Tamandua tetradactyla: one gene and its partners. The protein of the gene in region 1 interacts with the protein of each later gene in a pairwise test. Links are inferred from orthologs where the notes say so. Each region holds a gene or a part of one and is shown in the gene's direction. Other genes may lie near its edges.

Region 1 (7,971 bases):
CTCCCAGGCCCCTGATGCATACTCCGTTGCCCACCTCAGTCCTTGCAGCTCATGCCTGGTCCACAGTCTGGCGGTACAGATTCCCTCCCAGTTCACAGAACCAGGAATTGTGCTAGGAGCTGAAAGCACAGAAAACAGGGCATGGTCCTTTCATTCAGGGAGTCAAGGATGGACCTGTCCCTTGTTTGCAAGCCAGAACCTTCAGTCTTGGCCTCAGTGAATGAGAGGGGCCTAGGCTTTCTCCTCTGGGTCACCCACATACCCAGCCATTGGTTTGGCCCCCACAGGGCACCTCATCACCATGTGGGGTCCCACTGGGAGTCTTTCAGACCCCTTCTCATCTGTCCCTAAGTTCCCCCAGGGATTTTTTCCTTTTGACTCTTGGCTAGATTTAGGGGTCCTGGTCCTCAGCCAGAATCTGCTCTTGGCTGCCTTCCCCTCCTTCATGGTTCTTTTGTGAAGAGGGACCAGGAAGGAACAGGAGCTGGAAGGGACCAGAAGCACCCCCTGGGGGCCTGGAAGCTTTTCCAGCTCATCCCAAGGACTCCTCTTGGCTCACCCCTAGCCCTTTCATGCCCCTTTCCCTGGCTCTTCCTGTCCATTTAGAGGACCACTGGATTGGAAATAATAGGCCGCCCACCAGCCCTCTCCTCCCACCAGGACAACATGTGCTCCCTGCCTCTCACCCGCCCTGAGGGATTCAGGCAGGAAGACCTCAGAGGGGAGAGGGGAGCAGAGCAGATAGGGAAAAGCAATTACAAAGTGATCTCAGGTTAGAGGTTTGAGACAGGGAGGTGGGGGGTAGCAGTGGCAGTGGGGGTGGGCTGTCTGGAGCAGATGCTGGCTATGGTGGGAAGGAGGGAGAGAAAGGGCCCAAGCTTATTAACCCTGGCACAGGAGTCTGGCCCCCTGGGGTCTGTGAAGGTGCGTGAGCTGATGCCTTCCCTGTGCTCCAAGATGGCAGGGAAGAGGAAGAAGAAGGAATCGGGAGGGGGGTGCAGCCAGAGTGGTTGTGATCACAGGAGTCATACCCCTCTAACCAGAGAGGCTGCTGGACTCAGGCTGAGCATGGGGAGGACCAGTCTCTGCTCTGAGGCAGCGCCCCCTCCCACTAAAGAGGGAGACAATCCTTGCCCTCCAGCAGGTCCAAAACTGACAGCTGGCCATGGGTTCTCCCTGCCAAGTGAGGAGGTATGAATCCTCTCTTGTGGGAGCCTTAGTTTGAGGCGAGGAGAGAGACTCTATCACCTTAGGGAGACACCAGTCTGACGGGGAAGACAGATGCTAGCATGAGAAAGCTCCCATCCAAGGAGGAGAACAGGTCCCCTCACTGGGAAGCCTCAAGTTGAAATGCAGATGGGATCCATAGCCACAGGAGGTAGGAGTACACCAAGAGCTTCTCAAACGGGATGGAGTGGTGCCCCTGGCACAGGGTAGCTGTCGTTAAGTGGAAGCCATGACTCATCAAGCACCTGCTATGTGTGGTTCTCACTGATTTTATACTCACAACCACCTCATAAGTAGATATGGTGAGTGCCCATTTTGCAGATAGGGATTTGGAGACTCAGAAGGTTCCTGAAGTCGCCCAAGATCACACAGCTAATTTATGGCCAAGGCCTTGCTCTCTCCCCTAGAGGACACTGCCATAGAAATCGGAGGCAAGTCTAGGGAATCAAAGGGGTGCTCTCTCTGGGAGATGCAAATTTGGGTTTTAGAACACCTGCCTAAAGCTAGAAACTGGCTTTCTCTGTGACTCTAAATTGGCTGTCCAGTGGCCGCTAGGACCTGGGCAGCTGAGCACTGCCATCTAGCGGCCACCAGGGCTCGGTTCCCACACTCAGCTGTAGGATGGACTGGGCCATCAGGAACCAGAGGGATTTTTGTTCTCATCCCACTCACTTTTCTTTTGTTCTCAACTCCTCTACTTTTCTTATATCCACCTCCAGGCTTTTTTGTCCACACAGTAATTAAGCCAAATAGTGCTACATGGGCTACCCGTGTATTGCTCCTGCCACATGAAGCTGCTGTGCCCTGGAATATGAAGGGAGCATGACTCTTGATTTGCTCCCAGATAGTGGGAAGAAAAATTAGGAGACCTCAATTCTAGACGTAGGTCTGCCCCTAAGAAAGGGGCAGCAGCATGATCAGAGGCAGCCAGGTGGCAAGCAGCAAAATGGCCAGTTGAATTAGAGGCTAGCATCTTTGGAAAATACTGGGTACCTTGTATGCATGTTCAGCTTGATGTTGAGTTGGTCTGACTGGGGAGGCATCTAGGCTTTGCCTGTGACCGGAGGGCATCGTGGCAGATTCTGATGCACGGAGAGACTCAAGGAGTGGGAGGCCCTCTTATACCCACCTCGGCTCAGGAGTGGGGTGCAGCTTGGCAGAAGGCCATGTAGAGGGATACAGGCAATCTCTCTCTCTGGCTGGCAGCGTCCTGCTGCCCAGAGGTCAGTCTAGGGATGGGCCTGAGGCTTCACATGTTGGGCCACCAGGTTAGGGAAGCAGGAGGAGAGAGGTGCCATCTAGAATGGGGACTGAGCCACACCATAATTAGGCCTTGGGGTGGAGGCCAGAAGGGCTGCGAGCCTGCCCGTGTCTGTGGGCTGCGTCTGCCTGAGGGCAGGAAAACATCACAGCGTGGTGATTTAGAACAGAGAGAAAGAGAACATAACTGTCCAACAATAGAGCTCAGTTAAATAAATGCATACAGTAGAAAACCATGTAGCTGTGAAAATGATGATGTGGATAAATATTTATCGATATGGAAAGATGTTCATAACATATTGAGCGAAAAAAAACAAATTACAAAACCATTTGTACAGCATAAGCCCACTTTTTAAAAAATGCATTTATATGTGAAGAAAATCTGGTAGTGTTTATCTCCAGGTGGCAAAATTACAGCTAATTAAAAAAATATTTTTGCTTATCTTTATTTTCTAATTTTTCTACAATAAATATGTAATACAAAACAATGCAAGTTTGGAAAACAATCTCTACCAAATCCGTCTGCCCCTTTGCTTCTCTGTATGAACACCGTTAGCTAGTCAAGGGTTGAGAGTGGGGATGGGTCTGAGTGCTAGATGGGAGGTTGGGAATGGGGGCAGGGAGAGCCAGGGCCTGGGACAGCGGCCCAGCTGGAAGGGGTGAGGCTGGGGGACCCCTTCTGCTGGTTCTGAAATGAACCTCTGTCTCATATACAGAAGCACAATTCATCAGCTTTTCTGACAAGCCCTTCCTACTTTTGTTACATCTTTCATTTCCAGGATTGCTTTGCACTCATTCGGATTTTACTTGGACAAAAAGGGGAGACCACATGCTGTGATTTGCTAGTCAATCTGAGGGGGCCACAACTAGCTCAGAGATGATGGTTAGAACCCGGGCTTGTCCCCTGTCTTGTTCTTCAAGTCCCTATTGGTCCCCAGCTCACCAACCCACGACAGGATGAATGGTCACTGGGTGCCCCCTCCCCATATTACTGCTCAGGACCCAGGATCAGATGTGACCAGAGAATAAGGAAGGGACTCTCAGGCCTTCAGTTTGTGCTGGAACTCACAGGGGCGACATCAGCTGGCAGCTCATGACATGCCCAAATGAAGAGCATGTCCCCTGGCATGGGGCAGGGGATATTACCCTGAGAGGGGCTCAGGGTCCTGCGCTGGCTCTAAGAGCTGGGGAGAGGGTGGGCAGCATGGCCTTGTCTGCAAAGCTGGAGACCTGGCATGCTGGACCACTCTCCAGGGCCTTCCCCTGGTGCCCACTGAATGACTCACCTTGGCACAGAAACAATAGTCAGGGTGGGCACAGAGCCTGCTTCCCACTGCACCCCAGCCCCCCTCAGATGCCTTCCGAGAAACCCATTGAGCAGGGGACTTGGGCTACCCCCCGGCCTGACAGCCTGGCATCTCAGGATAAAAGCAACTCAGGCCCCCGGGAGCTGCCCTTCCCGCACGGCGCCCTCACCGGTGGCGGAGAACAAGGCTCCTTTCAGCAAGAGCCCCAGAAAAGGGATCAGCAGCTCAGGGCATGGGCAGGGGTGGCAGGGGGTGGGAGGGAGGAGGGCCGCCTGCTTCCCAGAAGTCCAAGGACATAGATTGGTGAGGGTCCTGGGCAGGGCTCTGACCCTTAAGAACCAAGGTAGACAGCTGTAGACCGACCCGAAGGCTCAAGGGGCAATCAGGCCTGGGGTCCGGGCTCCCAGTCTGCACTCAGTGGCTCCTGGGTTCCCAAACTCACCCATCCCCAGAGGCCTTTCCCATCAGCCCAGCCTGAAGTGTGGGAACTCAAAGAAGATATATTTCCAGGGGGTGTGTGAGGGGGTGACCAGGGCGACAGGGAGTCGCAGGAACAAAGATGCAAGCTGGAACAGCCAGCTCATTCGTAACTGCTTTGTGGAGCTGTCAAGGCCTGAGCTCTGGGGAGGGGGCAAGGAGGCCAGGCAGGGGGAGGGGTGAGCCCAGTGGGAATAAGGTAGGGGCTTAGGGGGGCCCAAGGAGAGGGGCCAGAGAGTATAGTACCTGACCCCCTCGACCCAATCAATTGGGACCTTCAAAGGTCCCTACTGTCACTGGCCTCGGCTAGACAGAAAGGCCTCAGATAGCCCACCAAGAAAACGGAGGCTGGTGTCCAAACCTGGGCCCCAATCCCAGAACTCCAAGGAGAGACAAGAAAGCAGGAATGTAGGATGGCTGTATTCAGAGGGCAGGATGTACAGGAATCTGTTGGAATGGGGCTCAGTAGGAAACTGTAGCAGGCTGTCACTTGAGGGTATAGAACAGGTTTGTTTTTTGCTAATTTCCCAGCATGGAGCAGGCAGGCAGTGAAGGAGTGCTGAGGGAGGGACTGCCTATGACAATGGTTATGGAATCTGAGATGGAAGATAGGTCAGAGGTCACCTGGCTCAGCCCTCTTTGACCCACTTTTCTGGAAAGGGGGTCTCCTGGTCCAGTGGTCAGGGTTCCAGACCCAGATAGGGTTGGCATGCCCGGGAAGCCCTGCCTCTGGGCACAGTGACCTCAGTGGGGTGAGAGGAGCTCTCCCCATGGCTGGGCTGCGGCCCAACCCCACCCCCTCAGGCTATGCCAGGGGGGCGTTGCCAGGGGCACCCTGGGCAGTGGCAGGCCAGCCCACTCCTCCATAAAGCTTTCACATCCCAGCAGCAGGCAGAGCCAGGCCAGGATGGAGAGGCGACGCATCACCTCTGCTGCTCGCCGCTCCTATGTCTCCTCCTTGGAGATGGTGGGGGGCGGCCTGAGTCCCAGCCGCCGCCTGGGGCCTGGCGCCCGCCTCTCCCTGGCTCGAATGCCCCCTCCACTCCCGGCCCGGGTGGACTTCTCCCTGGCCGGGGCACTCAATGCCGGCTTCAAGGAGACACGGGCCAGTGAGCGGGCAGAGATGATGGAACTCAATGACCGCTTTGCCAGCTACATCGAGAAGGTGCGCTTTCTGGAGCAGCAGAACAAGGCGCTGGCAGCCGAGCTGAACCAGCTGCGGGCCAAGGAGCCCACCAAGCTGGCTGACGTCTACCAGGCCGAGCTGCGCGAGCTGCGACTGCGCCTCGACCAGCTCACGGCCAACAGTGCACGGCTCGAGGTCGAGAGGGACAATCTGGCACAGGACCTGAGCACCCTGAGGCAGAAGTGAGGAGGGGGACTGTGGAGGGGCCTGTGGGGTCTCGTCAGGGGCTCTGCTTCTCTGCTTCCCACGTTTCCCCACTGCTGGGAGGGAAGGGCTCTTGTGCTCCCCAAGATGACGGGAGGGGGCAGGAGGAGGACTAGAGCCTCAAGGATCTGAGTCCCAGGGACAGCAACTCCCACTGGGGAAAGCTGGGCCGGGGACCATGGGGGACCCAGTGGGCAGGTTCTTTGCATTTCATCCACTGCTGGGCCTTGAGATCCTGGCAGGGAAATGCACCTACCTGAGCCTGAGGATTAGAAGGCAAGAAGGCGGAAAAATAGAGCAGGCAAGCCTGGGTTCAGAACACACTCTGCCTGTTCTCAGCTCGTGACCCTAGCAAGTCACCTTGACTTGCACTGCTGTGAAGCAGCGATCATAATAAAATCCATCACAAGCGGCAGTTGCTTGGGACGTGGAGCTTTGCTGAGCTGGCAGGGCAAGTGTGTTACCTGCAAGTGCAGGGGGAAGTGTGTGAGTTTGTACCTGCAGCAGCAAGTACTCACTGGTGGGAGTTCAGTAATGGACTTCATTACTTAAGGGACTTCAGTAATGAGTTAGGGCCAAAGTTCTCATCTGCTCACCCTCCCACCCTCCCAGCCATTCCCATGATCCAGGACCCCTTGACCCCTACTCCTCCTGCCACCCTACCAGTTCTGGGGGTCTCTGAGGCAGGGAGAGCACGGTAGGGATTTGAGAGTCCTCAGAAGACCCTAGATCCAGGAATGTGTCATACACACCCCTCCCCACTCCAGGCTCCAGGATGAAACCAACCTGAGGGTGGAGGCTGAGAACAATCTGGCCGCCTATCGACAGGTCAGGGAGGTAGAGGGGAAGGTTGGGGGGTGGGGAGGGAGGGTTGGAGGCAGCCCACCTAAACCAAGCCCCCCAAACCCAGCCCTTCAGATCAATGAACTCCTGCTGCCCCAGAAGAAGAAGTAAGACAAGCCTGGGGAAGGGAGAAGAGGAGTTTGAGGTCAGAGTGGTCCTTTGTCCCCTCCCCATTCCAGGAGGCAGATGAAGCCACCCTAGCCCGTCTGGATCTGGAGAGGAAGATTGAGTCTCTGGAAGAGGAGATCAGGTTCCTGAGGAAGGTCCACGAGGAGGTAAGGCTGAAGCAGAGGGAGGAGAGCCCAAGTCAGAGACTGAAGCTGAGAAAAAGACAGAGATGGAGGATGAGAGATTGAGACAGAGAGATACTCAGAGACAGAGGAAGAAAGAGAGGCAGAAAGTGAGAGACAGAGGGAGAAACAGATACAGAGAAAAATGTGCGGTAGAGGGGGATAGAGACAGACAGGAGAGCATTCCGGACCCCCGTTAAAAGGCACACACATGTGAATCAAACACTCCACTTACTGGATTCAAATAGGCCTCATGGCCTCATTTTTTTCTTCATAACAGCCCTGTGAGGTAGGAACTGTTCCAGTATTATCCCCTTTTCACAGAGGACACTGAGACCCAGAGAAGTTAAGGAACTTGCTACGGTCACACAGTTAGTCTCTCCAACTCCATCCCTTCTGTCACCTGCCTCCCTTCAAGTGAGGGCCATTTATTAAAAAAAAAAAAAAAAAGTCCCACTGTGTTCTGAACTCAGAGCACGGATTCAGAATCTATGACCCTGTGGAACCTGGGAACCTCTGGGTACCCACCCACAGAATGCAGGCACATCTCAGGACCGGGCTCCTACCCATCCAGCCCTGGCAGAGGACACCTTGAGGCCCCAAACTACCCCCTGCCTTCCTTAGCCTGGGCCATGCCTCTACCTCCAGCTAGGGATGCCCCCCTTCTCAGCCAATGCCTGAGTAAAAGCAGGTACGATGCTGTACGATACCCTGGCCAAAGCCCGAATCCTGAGCCCTGGGACCCCTTCTCTCACCCTGACCAGGAGGTGCGGGAGCTCCAGGAACAGCTGGCCCGGCAGCAAGTCCATGTGGAGCTGGATGTGGCCAAGCCAGACCTCACGGCAGCCCTGAGAGAGATCCGCACACAGTACGAGGCAGTGGCATCCAGCAACATGCAGGAGGCAGAGGAGTGGTACCGGTCCAAGGTAGCCCTGACTGTGGGACAGCTTGCCTCCTCCAGACAGTCCTCCTTTCTCCATACTGGAGAACTAGGAACGGAGGGTAGAAGAAGGTGGAAGGGGCTCCTCTCTGGGTGACTGACTTCCAGAGAAATGAGATGACTCCGAGAGTCTTACAGGCACTACTACGTCCAACAAGTACTTATTATTATTACTACTATTATTACTACTAGTTGTAGTAGTAGTAGTTTAGTGGTAGTCAACATTGTTGTGTTCCA
Region 2 (7,091 bases), on another chromosome or scaffold:
GTAGTCTGTGCTATGAAGTATTTCCTTTTCAATTCTAAAATTATATACAGTTTTCAAAACTGGTATTATCATGGCCACTACTTTAATTACTGAAAAGTTCCCTATGGGTGATTATTTTACTTGCTGCCATATAACCTGAGGATACTTTTAACAACAATCACCCTATCCCAAATTAAGACATTTATCATTTTGAAACTCTGGAATGCCTAATTTCAGAAATTATAAACCTATAATCTTGGCATGTGAAGTCATAATAAAGACAATCCTGCCCCTTTACAAAAAAATTATCATTAACTGTAAAAAAGCAGCAGTTTTCCCAGACTTTCTTCTGCCTGGGAAATATTCCTTAAAGTTCTCACCTGCTTTTTAACTAGGCAAGTATCTTTAAAGGGCAAGAAGATGTGTTATAAGTATGAATGAAAATCATTTATTACTATGAAGATTGAAAGCAAGGTCATACTACCCAAAAGGTCAACAATAATAAATCCTGTTTATAACTTGCCCTCTTAATTTCAAAAGTTGTGTCTTGAACATGTGCTATTTTAAAATAAAGCACATTTATTTTTAAATGGAGCACACAGGTAAAACACAATGCTTTAGAGTTCACCTATTTAAGTTCTAAAAACCTTAGATGTAAACTTCTGATTTCTTTATAAAAATGTTCCAATCTGTAAAGCCTTCAAGGTTTGTTATTTCCCATCTTCCTCCCCTCCTCAAATTTGGCAACAATATGAATACCCTTACTCAATACTATCATTTCAAGAACAGACTCACAAAAGAAAAAAAGCTCTCTACATGGGTAGAGATTATTTTACTCATTGGGGTGTCCCCCAGTACCTATCTAGCAGTGTATGGCACATAAAAAAAAACACTCAAAAGTAATTTGACACCACTAATACACCATTATCTCCACCAACCAGGATGGTGCTGGCTGTGGCATGATTAACAAGCAGCTCATGCTCTCCAATAGGTCTTAATCTTACAAAAAACATAAAATATTTTTCAATAATCTTGCCAAAATAAGGAGTTCTTTTCTGCTATTAGGCTTACCAACATACACTTCAGTCTCTAAAGAACCCATGTAAATGTTTTGAAGGCATAACATTTTGGGGGATGGGTGGGGTGAGGGTGATGCATAGTCCAGATAGGCATAACATTTTAAATTTCAAAAATATATATACAGTTCCTTGTATTCTACCTATAGTCTACTATGTAAAATGGCATCTCTCGCTAATCTATCTGAATGCACCCCTGACCATGTCAACCAGTCTAACCCACATGCTCTATTCTGCACAGATTATGGCAATATCTTCCTAATGGGTTTGCTTCTCTGCCCTTGCTTCCCCTTCAACCTAATCTCAACAAGAGTAGCAATGTTTCTTTTAAAAAGTAAATTAGATCACTTCCTGTCTCTGCTAAAAGTACTCCAATGGATTATTATCTCCTTCAGATTAAGAGCCTGTCTTCACAAAGCCTACAAAGTCTCAGGAGATATGAACCCCCATACAGTGATTCTAAAACTGGCCCACCACTTTTTTTTGTACAGCCCAGAATGAAGAAAAATGTTTACACTGTTAAATGGTTGAGGGGAAAATAAAAATCAAAGGACTATTTCATGACACATGAAAATTGTATGAAATTGAAATTCCAATTTTCACAAATAATGCAACCCAATCATATTGAATTGTTTATGTATTGTTTAGGGCTGCTTCCATGGTACAACTCTGATATGGTACTCTGGCTCTTTACAGAAAAAGTATGCTGACTCCAGTCCTAAAGCATCCACTACATTATAGTGAATTAGCTTTCCCCATATTCATCTAGAATGGTACTAGTTATATATCATTTGTGGGAGCACTGATCAAGTAGTCATTATCTTCTGAGTTCTCCCGTTCAGATGAGGAATTCTGCTTGGGAAATGGCTACTTAGTAACTAGGTCCCAGTCTTTCTGGTTTCCTTGCTGTTTCTTAAACATGACCAGCAAACTGACTTCAAAACCTTTCCTATCCTTCCTCATTAGCCCAAGATGATTTTCCAAAATATGCACTAGGCTTGCTTCCTCATCTTTCTGGTCCTTGCTGAAGTATCTTCTAGATGAGGCCTTCCTTAACCATTCTATTAAAACTGTACTCTGCTCCCAATCCCACTTCCTGCTTTATTTTTCTTAATACTTAACACTACCTGATTGAGAATACCAATTACTTACTTGTTTGTTGCCAAGAGAATGAGTTCTAGAAATGTAGGGATTTTGTTTTGTTTTGTTCACTACTCCAACCCCAACACTCCTGTGCCTGATGTAAAGAGGGGCTCAGAAAAGAACTGTTGCATTATATTGTAAAGATAAATATATGTAAGGATACACTTCCCCATTAACAGCTGCCATGATGAATTACAACAGTATGATCAACAGTATTAAGTAATCAAGGCAATAAAATGCTATTAGGTGCCCAACCTAAACAGAAATGTTTAACAAATGTGTTGGTTCCATCAGCCTTCCATGAAGAGCTTAAAAATCAAATGCAACCTACTATTCAGATGAAACAAAAATATCCCTTGGTGACATTTATACGTTTTTCCCTCAGAACTTCAATTCTACAAATACCTAAAGAGTACCAGATAGTGTTCTAAAAGTGGAAATACAAAGAAAAATAAACCAAGTTACTGCTGTCAAGCAAATTTAATTTATCTGAGATTTCAGCAGGTTATCAAAGTATTATACAATGTAATAAAAGGTGTCTAAAAAGGTCCATAGGAAGAAACTAATTCCACTTACAGGGTGTGGGAAAATAAAGATGGGATGTTTGAGCTTGACCTTATAAAATAAAAAAGCACTCCAGGCAAAATGAAAGCCCAGGAAGAGTTAACCCCATTATCACAGGCACATCACATTAACCTTCAGATGTGGAGGGACCAGCAATTAGTTTTGGACAGGTAATATACTCCAAGGAGATGGGTGAAAAAAGATAATGAAAGTAAAATGGAAAAGGCCCAGGGAGACTTTATGAAAGGCACATCATAAAAAGGAGCTGGATTTTTTTCTGTAGGAAATGAGCCATCAGAAGATTTTAAAAACTCTGACTAGACTACAGACAGCTTAGGCCTTCCTCTTTTGAGGGATGAAGGAGATACGGTGGAAGCACTCCGGTGAGGAGAGGAGATGAGGTAAGGAACTGAGAATGAACCCTGAAATGCTACACCGAAGGAAAAATCCCGAAAAACCAAACGGAAGGTGAACTCTGTTATGAGTAGGAGTCCAAAGACTTACTGAAATTCTAAGAATAAAATTCTGGGCGGGAAGATATTTGAAAGATTATTAACACAAAACAGCTCCATTTTTCCATGAAAATGGAACTGGGACACGTGGGTTCTAGAAACAGGGTTACATGGAGATCTGAAAAATCGGTCTCCTGGACTTGGTTTTTAGACCAAGAGATGAGGAATCCTTCCACTCATTGCACTGTTAACTCAGATCCATTTGTAAGCCTGGGCCAAAATAGCAAACTGGTGTTTTCATAGACCCCAGGGCACCAGAAGACTCCTAATAAGAGTGTATCAGAAAACTCACCTCTCTAGATTGGGGGGTAGGGTGGGGTGGGGGTGGGGCTGTCTATGCGGGTACAATGGACCTGGAACCAGGGACTCTAGGTAGGTGCACTGTAGGAATACAACGACTTGCAGACAGAGCTCTGCAGGTGCGACAAGGAGAGCGGGGCCCAGGTCGCCCCCATCCCACGCTAAGTCTCCATCTCCCCCTCCTTGGCCTCCTCCCGCTCACTTTTCCTTCTCTCAGCGGCGCAGCCCACAGTGCAAGATGCCGATACCCAACCCGTCAGTGAAAGTCAGAAGTGGGGTTAAGTCAGTGTTCTCTTACCCAGACATACAAACAGCACCGATTTGGGAGGCCCTGCTGCCATCTTCTCACCCGCAAATAAAGACACTTACTGAAACGGAACCACACGGCCAGAAGCCGAAGTGAGAACAGCGCATGCGCACTTCGAGCATCCGGCCCCCATGCGCCGGCGCAGTCCAGACTTCGGCTCAGCGCGGGGCGTGGTCAGAGCATGCGCGCTGAGGCGCGGGTCGAGTCTACCTGAGGAGGCGGGCAGGGGAGGGGTGACTCACCTGTCAGGTCACTGCTCTCTGGCGGCTTTTGCAGCGGGTCAATATTGACAGCAGGGATGGGAACGCTGGAAGCGACCTATTTGTCTCTTAGCAGTGCTGAACGCTGTAATGCAGCGTGTCTCGGCTGAGTTAGTTCGCTTGAGCGCACGTCTGGTGCGAGGCCGAGAGCGGGCCAAGTGTGGAGGTCAATGCGCCGACTCTGCCTCCCTGAGACACAGGATTTGGGTGGTGGGAGGCAAGCACCTGATACCTGTAGGTCTGTGAGAAGGGCCATACGGGACTCCCGAGTGTTAGCGGAGGGAGCTCAGAATCTTGCGGAGCTATAGGTAAGACTCGAGTGAAGACCGTCGATGTCTTACAGTTGAGAACACGCACGCACTCGTTCTCAGCTTTTAAGTTTCCACGAAAGCAAAACCTCCTCTGGGATCCTTAAGCCTCGTCAACCTTCAGCGTAAAGCCCCGCCGGCGTTGTGGAGATAAGTAGTGATCCGAGGAGACAAGCCCTCGCCTCTGAGCGCCTTAAGGGTGGAGTCCTTTTGGGGGACTCCGCAGCTACAACTCTGAATTACCAGCACCTTCAGCTCCCGCTTTTCCGGGTCCGCAGTCAGCGCTGTCGCAAACACACACACATATACAAGCACAGAAGTGGAGCACCTTCCGGCTCTCTATAGGGATCATCTGTCTTGGTTTTTCCCAACGTAAATAAGACCGGAATTTTTAAAAGCCGCAATGGCAGTTATCAAACTGAGCGGAGTCCCTATCCAGCTGCCAGCACCATAGTTTTATTATTATTATTTTTTTGTCCTGTGGATATTAATAAAGTAGGTGTTTTACACTGGACGAAAGTGGGTGTTTACTTGCTCCTTTACCTGTTTCAGGTGTGCAGCTTCCTAGGGACCTATCCCTACTTTGGGGAGGCGGAGCCCAAGCCAAGAGCAGTTCTTCCTCTTCCTTGGTAGTTGTTTTGGAGCTGGAGTGGTACCGGAAGAGGAGAAGGTTCTGGGGGCACAAGTGAGTACCGACATTTAGTTATGCTGGCATGAATCTCAACTTGAATGGGACAGGATTTTTTTTTTTTAATGGTAAATCACCCTCCTTCCCTTTTTAAGAAGTGATTGTTGGGGAAAATAATTTGTTGGTGAAAAAGGACCGATGATGTCTGGGTTTTTTGTTTGTTTGTTTGTTTGTTTTAACCTTTGCACATCTATAACCACTTCAACATAAACTATTCTTGAAAACTCTCAAAATGTAAGATTAGGTAGTTCCCAGTACTCTTGACCATACTGGTTTATATTATTTAAGTTTAGTCACATTCGTTTCAATTCATAGAGACACTCTTACTAAGTTTTGAATTTTACCTATTATAACTCATTTTATTAATGATTTGTAAATAGCTTGTATTTGAAAAGCCGCAAATTAATCTGTTTTTCTATTTTTTTTCGTTTCAAATTATTTTGATAAATGACATTCTCAAAACTTTGCCATAATGTTATGGGCTTGAGATGAGCATGATATATCACAGGGTAGGAGTCAGTAAGATGCCACTACTCTAATGCCAGTAAGGTGACATGTTTGGGTTTCTTTTCTTGAAATGAAAAGTGCCAGGCCATCCACACACTCTCGCCCGAACCTCCCTGTGACCAGCAGAACACGTTTACAAAACAACTTGGATAAAGAGGTCACTGTTTAGCAAAGAGCAAAGCTGTTTGAGCTGCGTCTGTATTAAGCACATGACGTCACCCTAGTATGAGCTCCTGAACTTTTCTGTGGGTCTCATTGCTGTAAAGCATTTTCTTTATTTAAAGAAGTATGAAATTATCCTAAATTGGGACATAACCATGAGAAAATAGGGTTTACACTGCTGGCTGGTAACGTGTCATTTTCACAATCATTTCAGAGTCTACCACTACTCCCTGCTAATGCTGTATTGGAAAGAATAGCACCAAGATGTGATCCCTGCCCACAGGGATCTTGAAAGTCTGACTGGCTAAGAATATTCTTTTAGGAGATAAGGTTTTCAGTTTTTTTCTGCTTATAGAATATGCATCCTGGGTTCCTGTTCTCATAGGTATTTTTATTGACCTGAAGAAATACCTGAATTAATAACGAGGTAAAAAATTTGTACACACACAATTCAGAGAAATAATAGGTCTCAGGTTTAAAATGCTATTTACTCTACTGTGCTGGCCTTTGATTGAAATGCCTGTGGAGTGACTAAATGTTGAGGTGTTTAAAAATTACTATGTCGGAGGTTAAATAATCAAAATAGGTTATAATCCTGTGTTATCTTGCTTACAGTGATTAAGAAGAAGTGGCTATTTGGTTCAGTGATGCTCTGTTTAAAGAAAATTTCAGTGAAACATGTAAATACTACCTTTTATCTTTTGTAATTTTAAAAAATAATTTTTCAAAAACCTTGCTCACCAAGAGTGTTGATATTTGACAATTTTATGATGTTTAGAAAATCTTTTTATCGGGAGATTTCTTGCTGTTTAGAAATGAAGATTTAATGTTTCAAAATAAAAAAATTGATGCTGGTCAAAAAGAAATATTGTTTCCTGTGTTGATTCTACTGAAGAGTAGAGTCACAGAAATCATATACACATTGCCTTATGTGCAAAGACATCAAGATAAAGCACATTTTTTTGCAATTTAAGACCTAAGCACATTTTTTTTTTTTAATTTTCCTTGGGAAAAGTCAGCTTTTACACCAAATGATAGGACAATAGTGGAATATACAGTCCTGTTTTGAGTCACCACCCCTTTTCAGTTTGCATTCTAGTTCTGCCTCTTAATTAACTATAGAAGCAGAGCAAGTTATCTCTGAGACTCAGTTTTCTCATCTATAAAATGGTTCTTAAAAGTACATATTGAATAGGATTGTTCTGAGAATGAAGTGAGAATATATGTAAAACACTTATAACTGAGCTTGTTATATAATAGACAGTCAACATTTAGTTTCTTTCTT
Region 3 (7,134 bases), on another chromosome or scaffold:
CCCACGTTGCCAGGGAGGTTTACCCCCCTGGGAGTCATGTCCTGTAGAGAGGGGGAGGGCAGTGAGTTTGCTTGCTGTGTCGACTGAGAGAGAGGCCACATCTGAGCAACAAAAGAGGTTCTCTAGGGGTGACTCGTAGACCTATTTTTAAGTAGGCTAAGTCTATCCTTTGCAGGGATGTTGCATATGAACAAACCCCAAGATTGAGGGCTCGGTCTATTGATTTGGTTGCCCCGCTGTCTATTTCTTTTTTAATCAACTTTATTGAGGTTTAGTTTATATACAATAAGATGTACCCATTCTAAGTCTTCAATTCAATCAGTCTTGAAAATATATATACACCCAGTGTTCTAGTTTGCAAGCTACTGGAATGCAATATACCAGAAACAGAATGGCTTTTTAAAAGGGGAATTTATTAAGTTGCAAGTTTACAGTTCTAAAGCCATGAAAATGTCCCAATTAAAGCCAGCTACAAAAGTGTCCAAACAAGGGGTTACCTTCACTCAAGAAAGGCCAACGATGTTCAGAGTTTCTCTTTTAACTGGAAAGGCACATGGCAAACACGGCAACGTCTGCTAGCTTTCTCTTCAGGTTTCTTGTTCCATGAAGTTCTCCCCGGGAATGTATTCCTTCTTCATCTCCACAGGTCTCTGGCTGTGTGGGCTCTTGTGGTTCTCATGGCTCTCAAGCTTTTTCCAAATGGTTCCCTCTTAAAGGGATCCAGCAAGCAACCCCACCTTGGATGGGTGGAGACACATCTCCATGGAACCATCTAAGCAAAAGTTACCAATTGGGTGGGTCATATTGCCAGGGGAACAATCAAAAAGCCCCCACCCAGCATATTGAATGAAGATTAAAGGATATGGCTTTTCTGGGGTCTGTAAGAGAGTCAAACTGGTCCACCCAGGTAATCACAACAAAACCAGGATATAGAATATTCCCATCACTCCCCAAATCTCATGCCCTAGCTTTGGACTAGCACCAGTTTGCTTTCTGTCACTATAGGTTTGGGGGGGGGGGTTGTTTTTTGTTTTGGGGGGAGGTGCATGGTGTGGGAATCAAACCCAGATCTCCTGCATGGAAGGTGAGCATTCTGTTAGATTCATTTTTTAAATATATAATATTATTTAAAGTATTGTTCCATTTTGTGGCATGAATCAGCAGTGTTCCCTTTTCAGTATTGTGCCATTGACTGAATTTTCCATAATTGTACATCTGTTCACCAGCGGATGGATATTTGGATTATTTCCAGTTTGGGACTGCTATGAGTAAAGCCTTGTGAGGACCCACATTTTCATTTCTCTTTGTTAAATACTGAATGCAATTGCTAGGTAAGAAGGTAAAAGGTAACTTTTTAAGGAACCACCCAACTGCTTTTCAAAGGAGTTGGACAATTTTGCATTCAATGTAGGAATGTTCCAAGTATTCCTCAGCTTTGTCAAAACGTGGTATTGTTAGTCTTTTCAATTTTAGCTCTTTTAGACTATTTGGTGGTATTACATTGGGGTTTTAATTTACATTTCCCTGATGACTAATGATGTTGAGCTTCATTTTATTTCCTCCTTGGCCACTCACTTAACTTTCTTCGTCAAGTGTCCATTTATATCTTTTGCCCATTTCGAAACTGGGCTGTTTTTCTTCATATGTTATGGCTGCAAGTCCTCTGTCAGATAAATGCATAGTAACTGTTCTTTCCAGTTTGTGACATGCTTTTTTTTTTAATTTTCCTCATTGTGTCTTTTAAAGAGGAGAAATTTTACATTTTGATGAAAACCAATTTATCACATTTTTCCATTGTGGTTCACACTTTTTATGTCATGAGAAGGCTTTGCAAACTGCAACAAGGCAAAGACTTTTCTCCTAGATTTTCTTTTAGAAGTTTTACAGTTTTAATTTTTACTTTTAGGTTTATCGTATGTTTTGGGGTTAATTGTGCATATAATGTGAGGTAAGGTTGAGGTTTTCCACACCAGTATGCAGTTTTTCAAGCACCATTTGTTGAAAGTAACTTTCATCCACGAATGACACTGGTGCCTTGTTGAAAACCAATTGTTCACATATGTGTGGGGTTTTCTGCACTCTCTGACACCACACTATCACAACTGGATTTTAAAATTTGCATGAAAAAGTAAATGACCTAGAAAGGGCAAGACCAGCTTGAAGATGACAAAATCAGAGGGCTTAACAGTATAGTAATTAAGGCAGAGTGTTTTTATGGGCACAAAAAGGGACCAATCAAACAAGGGGCCATGACAAGCATCCAGAGACTGGTTGTCACAGACACAGTCGTCTGATTTACAGTCGAAGTTCTAAAGGACCAAAGCTCTTTTCAATGGATAAAAGTGTATGAAAATGAACATACACAGAATTAATTCAGATGGATCATACAGTTGGTAAAAGTAAAAGCTTCCAGAAAGAAGCATAGGAGACTATCTTCACCAATGTTGAATCAACAACTTCTAGAGCAGGATGCTGAAAGCTCTTACCATGAAAGAAAAGATGGGTAAATTAAATTTCACTCAAGTTAAGAACTTTTGCTTCATCTCATTATTAAGAGGATGCAAAGGCAAACCACAGCCTAGAAAAAGACTTCACCAATAAATACATCCAATAAAAGACTCGATTCTCAGAGTTCCCAGAAATTGATCAGGAAAAACAAACAACCCAATGGGAAAAAATGGGCAGAGGATGAGAGCAGGCACCTCCCCAAAGAGAATACTCAGGTGGCCAATTAGTGTGTGAAATGGAGCTCCGTGTCAGAGGAAGGCAAATTAGAACCACAGCCAGATACCACCACGTACCCAGCAGGACGATTCACATTTAAAAGACCAGGGATGCCAAGTCTGGGCAAGGAGATGGAGCTGCTGCACCTCCCACGTGCTGCCGACAGGGGGCAGACTGGTGCAACTGCCTTGTAAAACTCCTTGGCAGTTTCCACTAAAGCGTACCCGTTCCGCACGGCCCTGCAGTTGCACTCCTAGATATACACCTAATAGAAATGCAGACTTGGGGCACTAAAGGACGTACAGAACAGTCACAGCATCATCGTCTCTGGGAACCCCCCAAATGTGCATCAACTGAGAAATGGATAAGTAAGTGATGGTTGATCCATCAACAGAACACAGGAGCAATGACAGTTCATCTTTCACTGCAGCTACGAAATGCAGATGAGTTTTGCAAACATGCTTTTGGGCCAAAGAGACCAGACATAAAAAAGTACATTCTCCATGGTTCTGTTTACGAAAGGTTTGAAAAGAGGCAAAGTTAATGTAGAAGCAGCTATGATGGTTGTCTTTGCAGGGGAGGTTGGAGCTACCTCGGAGGCTGGGCAGGGTTGAAAGGGTGCTTCTGAGGTCCTGGCAATGTTCTAGAGCCAGATCATCCCTTGTTGGGGGGCTTCCCTGTGCACTGTAGGGTGTTTAGCAGAACCCCTGGCCTCTACCTACTAGTTATTCCCCAACATGACAATCAAAAATGTCTCCAGACATTACCAATGTCCCCAGGGGGCCAAGTCGCCCCATGGAATTCCGCTGCTTTATTGCTTTTCCTACAGATAGGTGGTCGTGAGTGTTCACTTTATGAGAATCATCAACCTATCCAGGTAGGATTCGCCAGCTTTTCTGTCTGCATATTATACTTTAATCAAAAAGTTTTCAAAATCAGAAAGAACACAATGAATAACTTAAAGAACCCAAAATATTTAAGTCAGTAGGGACAATAGAACGAAGCAAGGGCAGCATCTCGTTTTACAAGTCAGGGTCTCTTGGGGACCCCCATCGCCCCTGACCTCACGCCATTCCTCCACTCCTCTCACAAGACTCACCCCAAACACCCCCCAAGTCAGTACAAATGTCCATCCCCGACAGGGGCTCAGCTGGCCCCTCTGTGGAAGCGGTTAGGGCTGGTGGATGCTGCGCCCAGGTCCCTGCACAGACAGCTCTGAAAACTGTATCTCACCCAAACAGGATATTAGCTTTTGTCAGAAAGATCAAAAGTGCCTTGAGGTTTTTCTTTGCAGGCTCAGCCACTCCCCCTCGCCCTCCCTGGCTTTATCTACTCGCTTCAGTCTGCAAGGCAAACCTCTTGAACTGCGGGCAGGAAGAGATGGCAGCCGGGGAGACTCAGCTCTACGCAAAGGTCTCCAGCAAGGCCAGAGGCCGTGGTGCCTCCTCGGCCCTGGAGTCCCTCCTGGCGTCTGGCTTCCCAGCGCACACCGCGTGAGTACCTCGCCAGCCGGCCCGGGCCCCTGGGCCTTTGCCCCCAACACCCTGAAGCCAGCCTCGCTGGGCGTGGGGTCAGAACCCTCCACAGCCTTCTCACCGCGCGTCTGCAGGCAGCCCGGGGCACCTACTTCCTGCCACAGCAAAGAGGAGATGCTCTCAGAATAAGGCCCTTTCCCAACTGTCAGTAAAGAAAATGAGCTTTACTTTTTTCAAGACAAAATCTGCTGCCTGGTGGATCGGGGGGGCCCTGAAATTTGTGAGTGAGGCTGTCCCCCATTTCTCAGAGCCTGTGGGAGCTTCGGCCTGCTTGCCACCTCTTTGCGGGCAGCTCAGAGATCCTCAGGGTGGCGTGTCAAGGTGTTTCAGTCTCTTGGGGAGTGTCTGAGGCCGGGGGCTGCTGCGAGGATCACCAGCCAGCCTGGGTTTCTAAACTGCTCAGGGGAAGCCTTCCTCTTTGGGGAAAATCGCGTGAATGTCCAGTCATGAAGCAAAATGGTTCATGAGCCACAGGGCCGCACTGGCCCCGGCCTCCTCCTCCCAGATCCTCACGCAGAGCCTTTAGCCCTGGGAGCCACCCCTGCAGGGAAGGAAGAGGCCCCTGGCAGCCCCTAACCAGTGAGCTGCGGCAAGGCTGGTATTGGGCCATGATTTTTAGCCCAAACCGATTTCTTAGATCTGGGTTTTTTTTTCCAGATAGTTGCTCAATGGAAAAGCAGAACAGAAATATGCTTGTGGTAACCTAGGATTTGGGAGGTGGGAGAACTTTCCTTAAACTTTATAACAAAACCTTGCCCACGCTGGATGAATTAACTTCAAAGCCAGGCCCCGTTCCTCTCCTTCCCCAAGTGGGGACTCTGCCATCACGGCATCCTCAACAAGCCCAGGGGTGCCACCCAGGGAGGGGAACCTGCCTGTGGGCAGGTCCAGGGGGCTCCATCCTGGGCAGCTCTCGGGGCGCCTTCCCCCCTCCCAATCAGGCACCCCAGGCTGCCGCCAAGGACACCAGGCTCCCAGAGGGACCTGATCTAGCCCCCAGCGCCCCAAGGGCCCACCCTCTTTCCACAGCCGTTTGCTGCTGGTGCTGGACTCCTCGCAGAGGTGGGGGCAGGGCGGTGGTTTTGAAGCTCTCACGTGGAGCCCCCCAAGCCGGGCTCTGGGCTGAGGCCTGTCTGTTCAGAGCCCTCTGGGGAGCCACACACCGCCGGGAGCCCACAACTGCCTCAGCCAGCACCCCTTGGTTATTTCCAGCCTGCCATCCTGAGTGAAGTACCTTTCGTCCTGCTCCATTTGGTGCTGATGTTCAATGAATGCAGATCCTGGGTTATAGTGACGGTTTAAACACCGCCCAGCCCCAGGGGACTCTTTCTAGAGGGGGGACAAACAGATGCACGCTAACGCGGTGAGACCCATGATGAATGCACGGAGCGGGACGCAAAGGAGGGGCTGCACATCCAGCCCACTAGGGAAGATTCCCAGGGGAGATGTTTGCTCGCAGCCCGAGAGGGGCACCACAATTTCACCGAGGGGGTGGGCTGGATGCTGGCAGCTTTTGACCCCCGGGCCCATAGGCGGGTCCGTGCTGCTTTGGTTGGTGGGACCAGGGTGGCTGGAGTGGACAGAGGTCCAATGGCAAGGTCCCTGGGCTCCCTGCAAAGGCCTGGCGGTGGGAGCCTGGCAAGGGGCACAAGCAGGGAGCGACACATGCAGGTTGGTGTCCCCTGGGGCCATGGTGGTGGCTGCAGGGAGGGCGGCATGTGGGCACAGGCGCTCGGGCTGCAGAAGCCTGCCCTCTGAGCCAGCGGAAGGTGCCCGCGCAGAGGCTGAGGTTGGGGCTGCAGCCCGCTGCTCTCAGCCCGGCTGAGCACTCCCGTGTCCCCTCTTTCCTTCAGGCTCAAAGCGTTGGCGGCTACTGGAAGGAAGACAGCGGAAGAGGCATCCGACTGGTGAGTGGGGCTGGCTGTGCAGAGCTGAGCTGCCTGTGCGCAGAGAACCTGTCCTCTAGGGTGGAAACTGGGACGTGCTGGGGTGCTCTGGAAGGGCCTGGCAGCACTGTGAAACTTAAAACAAAATCGTTTCCATGACCCACAACCAGCACCCAGGGAAAGAGAGCAAAAGGAGGGCCCTTGTGTAAAAAGGAAAGAAAGGAAACTTTGTACAAAGCTTTCATTGATCAAAATCTGATTCAATCCAAATTTTGACTATGAAGAAGAAAAAGGTTCATACGATTTGTTGAATAAATAGGGAAGAGCAAATTTTGTGGATAGTGAAGAGAGTTTTCCCCTCTCTCTGGCTACCCCTGATGGAAAGAAAATTGCCTCCTGGTGGTGCATCCCCCACCCACCCTGCTTTACAGGGTGCAGGGCAGTGGAGAGGGGAGCTCTGGTAGCCATGAACCAGCTGTGTGACCCAAGCTACTGACTACTTCTTTTTTTGTTTTTTTTAATTTTTAAATTTTTTTAAAAATATGACAACAAACACAAACATTCTTAACATATGATCATTCCATTCTACATATATAATCAGTAATTCACGATATTGTCACATATTTGTATATTCATCATCATGATCATTTCTTTGAACATTTGCATCAATTCAGAAAAAGAAATAAAAAGAAAACAGAAGAAAATTCATACATACCATACCTCTTACCCCTCCCTTTCATTGATCGCTAGCATTTCAATCTACAAATTTATTTTAACATTTGTTCCCCCTATTATTTATTTTTATCTTGTATGTTTTGCTCATCTGTCAATAAGGTAGATAAAAGGAGCATCAGACACAAGGTTTTCACAATCACACAGTCATATTGTAAAAGCTGCATCATTATACAATCATCTTTAAGAAACATGGCTACTGGAATACAGCTCTGCATTTTCAGGTAGTTCCCTCCAGCCTCTTCATTACATCTTAA

Evidence for each region.
Region 2: the proteins of GFAP (region 1) and SH3YL1 interact in binary tests that used the Homo sapiens proteins (3 or more experiments, as listed by UniProt). The two-hybrid records come from large-scale screens. The link is inferred for Tamandua tetradactyla from reciprocal best matches to the Homo sapiens genes GFAP and SH3YL1.
Region 3: the proteins of GFAP (region 1) and UBASH3A interact in binary tests that used the Homo sapiens proteins (3 or more experiments, as listed by UniProt). The link is inferred for Tamandua tetradactyla from reciprocal best matches to the Homo sapiens genes GFAP and UBASH3A.

Annotation. Positions count from the first base shown.
Region 1 is NC_135332.1:22,511,535-22,519,505, forward strand, and holds the start of GFAP (glial fibrillary acidic protein), read left to right. Parts: upstream 1-4,876; 5' UTR 4,877-5,178; coding exon 5,179-5,639; intron 5,640-6,428; coding exon 6,429-6,489; intron 6,490-6,683; coding exon 6,684-6,779; intron 6,780-7,558; coding exon 7,559-7,720; intron 7,721-7,971.
Region 2 is NC_135329.1:43,297,225-43,304,315, reverse strand, and holds the start of SH3YL1 (SH3 domain-containing YSC84-like protein 1), read left to right. Parts: upstream 1-4,056; 5' UTR 4,057-4,449; intron 4,450-5,001; 5' UTR 5,002-5,133; coding exon 5,134-5,134; intron 5,135-7,091. Other genes in the region: ACP1 (low molecular weight phosphotyrosine protein phosphatase), read right to left, coding at 3,873-3,915.
Region 3 is NC_135336.1:99,705,904-99,713,037, forward strand, and holds the start of UBASH3A (ubiquitin-associated and SH3 domain-containing protein A), read left to right. Parts: upstream 1-4,083; 5' UTR 4,084-4,104; coding exon 4,105-4,217; intron 4,218-6,112; coding exon 6,113-6,166; intron 6,167-7,134. UniProt on the Homo sapiens protein: Interferes with CBL-mediated down-regulation and degradation of receptor-type tyrosine kinases. Promotes accumulation of activated target receptors, such as T-cell receptors, EGFR and PDGFRB, on the cell surface.